2 linked regions of the Macaca fascicularis genome follow. The protein of the gene in region 1 binds, or shares a complex with, the protein of each later gene. Links are inferred from orthologs where the notes say so. Each region holds a gene or a part of one and is shown on either strand. Other genes may lie near its edges.

Region 1 (4,487 bases):
AGCTCACTCCTCAAGCTTCAGTTAAATCCCTTAGCCTTGCTTCCATCCAGATTCCTGCTCTGAAAACTTTCTACATGGTTAGACTCATCACTGCCATTCAGCTTCCCTCATCAGAACTCCTGTTGCCAAATCTCTCCAGCCCTAGGTTGGTCTTTAACTGTTGTTTTCTTGTCTCTCACTGAAATGTAAGCTCCATGAAGCACAGCCACATGCTTCTTTTTTAGCCTTATACACTCAGACGTATATTCACTTTAGGATCAATAGTGTTTGTCAACTCAAATAGGGTGTGTGGGATGCATGATCCCACCTTCTGTTAGATTATTCAGCTCCTAAGTCATGCAAAACCGATACCTTGTGGACCTCCTTTCTAAAGCTCCTGCAGGGTGGGGGAAGAATGCACGGATTCTCATAGGTGCATTTAGCAATTACTAGTAACCAGCACTTAATGAATGCTTACTAATTGCTAGGTCCTGTACAAAATACATTACATACATAAACTTATTCAATCTTCATGACAACTATTATTATCCCCACTGAACAGATGAAGACACATAGAGGTCACTCAGCTAGTAAGTAGCGCAGCTAGGATTTAAAACCCAGACCGACTCCAGAGTCCATCCTCTTAATTATGACACTAAATTCTTTATGGGTAACAGAAAGCCTCTAATTGTAATGTAGATCAATTTCTTTGCTTTCTAACCCAATGGGAAGATGCAACTAAAAGGGTGAGAAAATATTTATTATACTCCTACTATGAGTCAAGTATTATAAGAGGTGCATAATGGGTTAATGATATAATTCTTGCAATAAGTCTAGGAAGCAGGAAGTATTAACTCCGTTTTAAAGAATTTGGCTTCTAAAGTGGTTAAATACAGTGCTCAAGTTTTAGCTTCCAGTTATGGGCAGAGCTGGAATTAGACCAGGTTTTCTAACTTTGAAGGAAAGACTTTAAAGGAGACTGTATGGAAAACCCTGCCAAGGGCAAATGTGAAGGGCACGTGAAAAGACATCTGAATTATTACTTATAATAATTCAGAAATAGTCAATGTGTGGCGCATATTGAAGAATGGTGAGAGATTGTCAAAAAATCTATTCTGTAAATACTCACAGAGGAATAAGCTAATTAAATACGGGAGCTGCGGGTCTTGGGCTAGGACATAAAGCCCAGAACTTCCCGTGAGGCAAAGGAACCGACTGCGCCACCTGTCCTGGAGAACCTGGGAACCCGCTCTAGAGACTTGGGCTCAGCCCCTTTTCTTTCCTCACACTCTAATTGGCTACTTTTCCCTGGGCTCCGCCTCCTTCTCTGTCTGGACCATTAAACAGGCAAGCCCTACCCAGGACCTGGAAGCGGCCTCCAATCAAGTGCCAGGCCCTGGAATCCCTCTAGAGAAGCCCCCTCTCCGGCGAGGCGCTTTGCTCTCGTCCGTGATTGGCCAGGCGCAGCATGGGGTCCGCCTCCTTCTCTTCCAGATAGGTCAGCGGTCTTCAGGACCACATCCCTTTCGGCCGGTCCCTGCCGCTCTTTCCCTTCGCTGCGTGGCCTTGGGCGAGCCCGGTCCTCTGCGGAGAGCGCCCCGCCCTCTGTGAAGGCCCGCCCGGGAATTGGCGGCGGCGCTGCAGCCATTTCCGGTTTCGGGGAGGTGGGTGGGGTGCGGAGCGGGACTTGGAGCCGCCGCCGCTGCTGCCGCTGCCGCCGCCCACAGAGCCTGCCTTGCGCCTGGTGCTGCCAGGAAGATGCGGCCGGGGCCCGGAGGCTGCTGCTGTCGCCGCACGGTGCGGGCGAATGGCTGCGTGGCGAACGGGGAAGTACGGAACGGGTACGTGAGGACCAGCGCCGCAGCCGCAGCCGCCGCCAGCCAGGTACGAGGGGCCCGCGCGGCGGGGCCGGGGTGGCGGTGCGGGCTGGCGGAGGGGCGGCCGGGCAGGGCGAGGTCTCCTGGCCATCCGCTGGGCAATCCGCCGGGTGGGCGCCGCTCGCAGGTGTGGGCGGCAGTGTCCGGCCGCTGGCCCGACCTCCACGAGCATAGAGGCTCAAGGACGACTCGGGGGCTCCTCCACGTCCCCGCGCCTGGAGGTCTTCCTCCCTTCCCCCCGGAGCTCTGGGTTCTGCTCAGAGCCCCGGGTACCTTTCTCTGACCCATCCTGCCAGAAGTGTATGCCACCCCCAGGGGAAGCAATGAGGGACCCCTCGGACCCCAGTGGGAGCCACCCAAGGGCTCCCGAGGGTCCCTTCAAACCCCCGAGGTTGTTGCTTCTTCTTAAAGTCCTGCAGCCTTCCAAAGAAAACCACCCATGGGGTCCTTAAGAGGCAAAGAAAGTTAGGCGGTGGTGTCAGATGGAAACACACCCAGCCTCTCCCAACCACATTCTGGAGTACCACGTTCGCTCCCCAAGCAGGACATTGGTCCGTAGATCTGGCAGGGAATCCAAGCTGGTCCCTCGAAAGCATTATTCTCTTAACTCTGCCCGTGGTGTGACTCTACCCCAGGCTCCAGATTGAATTGGGTGGCCCTTTCGACCCTTTTCTGAACACGAGTGCTATCACACAAGGGGATTGTTTAGCTTGGTGGTGACTTGCGATGACTCTGTACTAATTAACCATGCTGAATCATCAACCAAGTTCAGGCAGTTCTAAAATATTTTGAAAAGTTCTAAATTCAAGACAGTGCTTATTATCAACCTTACAGTGCTCTAGACTGACAAGTATTCTGTTGAAATGTGTTTTTAAAGATGAGCTGGTTAAAAAGATGCAAGATCGGTGTTCCTGGAAGAGAGTGTTGGGATAATTTCCAGTTGACTTTAATACGTTTAAGTCTTGTACAGATACTCAGGAACATTTAGAAAGTACCCTGTTCCCCTTTAGCAGGAGTGTGATAGGATGGTGATCTTCATTTGGCTTTAACAGAAATATCTGGCAGGCTCCACCCGAGATGAATAGTTATGATGGATAGATCTGTTACTGTTTGGTGTGAAGCAGAAAATAATGCATTTTTCCAGGTCATGTGAGATATTGAGACTGAGAGTTGAGGGGAAAAATAAGTAAAACAGACTTGACCTCCCCTGAAGTTGTAAGTTGTCAAAGCGAAGTAATACACAGATCAAAAGATTTGTTTTCACTTTTAAAGAAATAATTGTGTGAGGGAGGAAGTGATAACAATGAGCTCATTATAAGCAGTGGAATGGTTTGTTGTTTTTCTAGCAATGTAAACGACTTATAAGACAAAATTGTTGTGATATAGAATGTAATAGGGAAATTTAACGGGTAGGAGTTAGAAAATACATTGTAGGTGAATGAGTGAGGTATGATTTTTTTTTTTTTTTTTTTTTGAGATGGAATTTCGCTCTTGTCGCCCAGGCTGGGGTGCAGTGGCGCGATCTCGGTTCACTGCAGCCTCCACCCCGTGGGTTCCAGCGATTCTCCTGCCTCAGCCTCCCGAGTAGCTGGTATTACAGGCGCCCGTCACCACGCCCGGCTAATTTTTGTATTTTTAGTAGAGACCATGTTGGCCAGGCTGATCTGGAACTCCTGACCTCAGGTGATCCGCCTGCCTTGGCCTCTGAAAGTGCTGGGATTACAGGCGCGCCCGGCCGAGGTATGATTTTTTTTTTTTTTTTTTTTAATGAAAAAGGAAGTCAAGAGAGGTGTTCACCCTTCAGAGGTGCTTTGTGTTAAAATGCTGCTTTCAATCCCTGTGAGTTATGTTCTGATTTAGTAGGAAATCAAGGACCTTTCTCCCATAATCTCTAACAATTTAGCATTTGTAGAATGATATTTCTTCAGAGCTTGTCAACTAATAAGGTGAATAAATATCAAGGTACTAACATGACATTTTAAAATCTGTATAAATAACATTTGGTTGACTTTTGGGGACATGCTTTATAAAAGTTTCACTCAAGGCACATTGGTGGCATTTAAAAGAATGGTCTGTTGGAATGCTGTGAGGGCTGCAGTATCCCTTCTAGAAAACTTACTTCTCACCAGTATTTTTTAAACAGACTTCAGATCTGGAGCTTTCTACACTCTCAGATGGAGGAATATTGTCTGTGAATTTTTTTCTTTCTTTTTTTATACAAAAGAGAGATCTTGGTAACTACATGAGAGCTATACAATATCTTAACATTTTTTAAAAGTTGTTTTCATTTTAATTAAAGCGATGTGCCTGTGCTCCAACCTCTACCTGTCTTTCCCATTTTTCTGAGGGAAATGTTGCCAACTGTGCCATCAAAAATACGCAAACAGCTGTGTGTCATGCTTTTACTAGAATATGAATTTAGAGTATAAGATGGTTGAGATGTAAATTATTTTCCTCCCATCTCCCATGTCTTTTAATGAACAGGAGAGAAGTCAGAAACGTCTAAGATCAGTTTACACTCTGGAGTATGTTTCTATGCTTGAAGGCATGAATGAATGTATATAGTAAAAGAACAACTCTTGGATTTGGGTTTAGAATTTGATTAGCTAGATGCTGTGTTAAGGAGTTATG
Region 2 (4,532 bases), on another chromosome or scaffold:
GCTCCCCAGTTTCCCTGGGCTAGCCTTTTCCTTCATGTTCCCTCACTTTCAGTTCAGGGTGCCATGAACTGCCATTCAGAGTCAGGTTGGCATGCCATGACATCATCTGATCTTGATATTCCAGCCCTGCCCTGCACAGAGTGGACTTAGAAAGAAGCTGGGTAGGGAGTTGAAACTACTCAGACAAGGCCTCTTGGTGACATGGAGAATGGGAGTCACCGAGGAGACCTCAAGAGCAACCTCCTAAAGTAATATTAAGTAGATTCATACAATGCAACAGGTGCTTTACATACATTTTTTTGGGTTCCCACAACATTGGAGGTGGGGTTTCGCAGGTGTGGAATTGGAGATTAAGACAAGTAATTTGCCCAAGGTCACATTGCCAATAAAGGAGGGCCTGCCCTATGTCTACCAGGCAGTAAAGTCTGTGCCCTTGCCTTTAGACGATGCAGATGTGAAAACTGTAGACCAGAACCTCTCATTCAAAGCCACACAAGCTGACCTGAGACAGAAACTCAGGCTCCTTACTACTGATCAAGGAATCTATGATACGTGGCTTCTTCTCACGTCAGGTGCAGGGAGGCCAAGGAAGTGGCCCGGTCCGGGGCAGCCTGGGCCAAGAGTGACTGAGAAGGAGAAGGCAGGCTCCGTTCTGGGCCCTCCAGACCCTCACCCCAGCCAATGTTGTGAAAAACGCGCTCCCAGGAGGGCCCAGCAGGGCAAAGGGCCAGGCTAGTCTGTTTCTGGAGGAGCCAATCTGGGGCCGGGGCGGAGGCAGCCAGGTGCAGTGGAAAAACCCTGTACTTGGGGTCAGAATATCTGGGTTTCGATCCAGTCTGGGACCCAGCAAAGACCTACAGCAAGTTACTTACAAGTCCGAGTCTCCTCATCTGCAAAACTGGGGCACAGATAAAATACACTTGAAGGGCACAGGAGCAAAAGTTGGAATTGTTACGCACCAAAATTCTATCATCCGATCTGACCACGTCACGGTGCAACTTCCAACCGCGCGTCCCCGGAGAGTCCGGGAACGGAGCCCAGGAAAAACTACAACTCCCAGGAGCGTCGGGCGGGCCGGCCAGGAACCAGCAGAGGAAACTACAACTCCCAGGAGGCGTCGGGCGTGCCGGCGCGGGGCGGTGACGTCGCGGGGGCCGGCGCGGAGCGCTGATTCGGCCGGAGCTGCCAGCGGGGAGGCTGCCGCCGCGGGTTGTTACAGCTGCTGGAGCAGCAGCGGACCCCGCTCCCGGGAACCGTTCCCGGGCCCTCGATATCCGGCCCCGCACGGTGAGCCCAGACGGAACCAGGAGGCCCCAGGGCTAGGGGAGGGGCGGGAGAGAAGGTAGGAGCTGCTGGGGAGGCGCCCCGGGCTGGATAGACGGGGGCAGAGAGAGTGGGGGGTGGAGGGAGTGCATCAGCCGAGGGGGTGCAGCGGCTGGGGAGGTGGCCAAGGAATAAAGTGCGAGCTGGAGGCCGGGGTTGGAACGTCGGGAGGAGCGCCTCGGCTAGGGGTGGGAGGCGGGGAGCGGCTGGGCTTCTGGGATAAACGTTTGGCTGCTTCCAGGGCTGGGTGAACGCGTGGAGATGGCTGTGGGGTCCCGGACCTGGCCGGGTTCCGAGTGCCAGGACCCAGACTGGGCAACAGAGCGGGACCCCTCCCCCCGGCCCCGCGCCCGAGGTCTCACTCAGAAAACCCCAACAACAGTGAGGACTCCGCCTCTTCGCTCCTCCTCTCCTCTGCTTACTGCGGGTTCGCCTGGGCACTCGCTTTCCGCTCCCACCGCCCTCCCCCAGTCGGGGTGGCTGGGCCAAAGTTGAGATGTGATCAGCCGTGGTCCTGCAGCTTGGGGGGTGGGCGGAATGGAAGTGGCATCGTGACGTGCTGCCGCGGACTCCCCTTTGGGGTCCCCATCCAGGCCCGGATGTTTTGTGCTCCTCTTCCAAGACAGGGGGTTTGCTGTTGTGAGGGCTGCTCTTTCCTGGGGGAGGGAATGGGAAGGGCTCACCTGGTGGCTGCCCTGGTGGTGCTCAGCCTTGGCTTGAGTGTCTGGCATACTGGCTGGGCCCGAATATTTGTGCGTGGAGCCAAGCGGGTGGGGAGGGAAGAAGGGGGAAAGAGCTACCAGCAAAAAAGTGGTTAACAGAACAGAGTTGCTGCAGGCTCTGGTTTGAGGCAGGTTATGAAACCACATCAGGGCCCGGCACTAAGCAGCCACCTGCCAGCTGTGGCAGCAGAAGATTTTAGCTCAGCTCCTGTAGACCTAGTCGACCTGTGCCAGCCTCTTCTCTCTGTTTCTCCCCATCTAGGGGAGGGGTCGGTTGGTTGGTTTACTAATGGAAGTGATATGTGCCTGTAGTCACACGAAAGTCTCAAGAGTGTTTCCTGGCTGCCAGTCTTTTTGTTAGTTTATTGATCTCTTCTTTTTCAGGGGTGTCTGGTGGTTTCCTGCTCTCAGGGTACCTAGTGTTTAGGCTTCAGGAAGAAGCTTTCGGGGGTGTCGGCTGGGACCCAGGTCTAGTCTTTTCCTAGGCTCATCGAGTTTTGTTGGCTGCCCTGTGAAAGCCAGAAAGGGGTATGGGGTCCTGTGGTCTGGGATTCCACGAGGCTTTTGGCACTCTTGGACAACTACTAGGAAGGGTTAGTGGGCTTTCTACACCAGCACCTCTGTAGGTGCGGGTTACAGAGAGGTGATGGGGTGGCGGTTTCAGGTCAGACTTGGGACGCTGTTTCCCTCTCCTTAGAGGTAAGTCCTTCAGAGCCCTCACTTCTCAGCCACATGCCACCCTCTCGTCTCAGGTGGAGGCTTTTGCGTAGTAGCTGTCCCAGGGGCTGCTAGAGTAGCTGAAGCCCCAAGGCCCTGGGAAGATAAACAGTGGGAGCCAGCTCTGGCTTTCTAGATGCTAGGATTTCTGTTAGGCTCCATTATCCAGCCTCATGGGCTGCACTGATGGGTCCCAGGAGCATCACTGCAATCAGAGTGCGCCCCAGGCTGGCGCACAGGTGTTTGCTTGTTGGGATGGTGTGTTGTGGGTCACGTTTGCCCTGAGGTCTCTAAGCTTGGAGCTGTCTGAGAAGAGGAAACTTGCTCCTCTTATCCTGGAAGTAAAGAACTGGCCCCTGAGGATTCAGGCTCCTGTGCAGGTTTGGCTAGTTCCTAGTCAGAAGTAGATAGCATGTGGGTCTGAGGGGGTTGCTGCAGGGGCGTGAGACAGGTGGCCTTCCGGGTACTTCTAGAATATCTCTATCTGGGAGTCTTCTCTGCATTCCCAGGAAAGATGGGGCTGTTAACATGGTGATGATCTTATGGTCTTTAGCAAGCAGGACCCTACCTCAGATAGGGAGGTGAGCCAGTACACAGGTGCCATCCGTCTCCGCTTTCTCCTGGTCACAGGGCCCTCAGGGATCTGGGGACAGCCAAGCTCTGGACAAGGGGCAGATCATTCCACCCCTTCCTTCTCTACTTCCCTCTGCTCACTGTGGGTTGCGGCCACCTCCTGGCTCCTCCTGCTGCAGGACTCCCACCGTTGGTGCTGGGCAGGGGAAGGCATGGTGCTAATGTACACCTGGAAACAGGTGCTGAGAGGGGAGGCTGAGGTGAGGATGGGCAGGACAGAGAAGAACGGGGCCAGGAGGAAGACCACAGGTTCGAGTCTGTGCCCTTGGGAGACATATGTTGATGTGGGTTCCAGCGCTCTGTGGGAGTTATAGGTGTTGGCCACATTCTCTATCCTCGCCTCTCTTGTGGGGAAAAGGACCCTGGTGGTTTGGCAGCGGAGTGGGTGGCAGCACAAGGGTTGGCCTGAGTGGCTGCCAAATGGAGAAGACATCCAGATGGGTTATTTTGTGTCACCCAGGAGGGGTGCCTTCCAGGTCCGGGCAAAGGTTGTCGCTAGTCTGTTGTTTTCTTCTATCTTCCTCCCTCCCCACTTCCCTCTTTGTACCTGATCAGTCCTCCTAAGTTGGGGTTTGGGGAGATCCAGAATTGAAAAAATTAGAGGAGGTGAGTGGATGCAGTGACCTCAAAATAGTTCGTCCACTGCTGCCTGTACCCACAGGCCTCACTTCTTTCCCTCCTGATGGGAAGGGCTTAAGAGTGGATGTCCCACATCAGGCCCTCAGTGAGACACAGTCCAGCAGGGGTTGTGCTGAGTGAGAATTCTGTCTCTGGGGCTTTGTCGGCAGAGGGTCCTCATGGGAGTGCCATAGGGGGTGAGGCTGGGGGATGGGCCTTGACTTCTCTGCTCTGGGCTGCATGCCTCTTGATGACCTGTCCTCCAATGCCCTGCCAGGGCCCTGTCCCAATGGGATAATGCGTGGGGCAGCCTGCTGTTTATCCCAGCCCAGCAGCAGGAAATGAGTAGAGCTAAGTCCACATGGACTTTCTCCACCTTCCATGCTTGAGAATCAAAAGAGTGGAACTGCCTGGAGTTCTCAGGGAAGGAAGAGCCTGCCTCCCAGTGGGATCCGAGGGTGAGAGGGGGCAGGGAAAGCAGTGTGACCTGTCTGACCTGTGCTGCTTGTTTGCAGAACA

What was found.
Region 2: the proteins of SPTLC2 (region 1) and ORMDL3 are in contact, whole or in part, in a cryo-EM structure (PDB 7K0O), measured with the Homo sapiens proteins. The link is inferred for Macaca fascicularis from reciprocal best matches to the Homo sapiens genes SPTLC2 and ORMDL3. Residues at the interface, in NP_004854.1 of Homo sapiens: Glu65, Thr66, Pro67, Met68, Ala71, Val72, Tyr75, Tyr86, Gln116, Phe118, Glu119, Asn120, Phe121, Tyr122, Tyr127, Trp134, Asp259, Glu260, Leu261, Asn262, Val267, Arg271, Ile279, Met320, Val495, Val496, Gly497, Phe498, Pro499, Ala500; in NP_001307730.1 of Homo sapiens: Met1, Asn2, Val3, Gly4, Thr5, Ala6, His7, Ser8, Pro12, Val16, Ser19, Arg20, Gly21, Ile22, Leu24, Ser25, Leu28, Phe63, Val67, Lys68, Gly69, Thr70, Pro71, Phe72, Glu73, Pro75, Gln77, Arg81.

What each region holds. Positions count from the first base shown.
Region 1 is NC_088381.1:145,569,235-145,573,721, reverse strand, and holds the start of SPTLC2 (serine palmitoyltransferase 2), read left to right. Parts: upstream 1-1,530; 5' UTR 1,531-1,737; coding exon 1,738-1,863; intron 1,864-4,487. UniProt on the Homo sapiens protein: Component of the serine palmitoyltransferase multisubunit enzyme (SPT) that catalyzes the initial and rate-limiting step in sphingolipid biosynthesis by condensing L-serine and activated acyl-CoA (most commonly palmitoyl-CoA) to form long-chain bases.
Region 2 is NC_088390.1:60,986,562-60,991,093, reverse strand, and holds the start of ORMDL3 (ORM1-like protein 3), read left to right. Parts: upstream 1-1,481; 5' UTR 1,482-1,584; coding exon 1,585-1,750; intron 1,751-1,792; exon of another isoform or gene 1,793-1,962; intron 1,963-4,528; exon of another isoform or gene 4,529-4,532. UniProt on the Homo sapiens protein: Plays an essential role in the homeostatic regulation of sphingolipid de novo biosynthesis by modulating the activity of the serine palmitoyltransferase (SPT) in response to ceramide levels.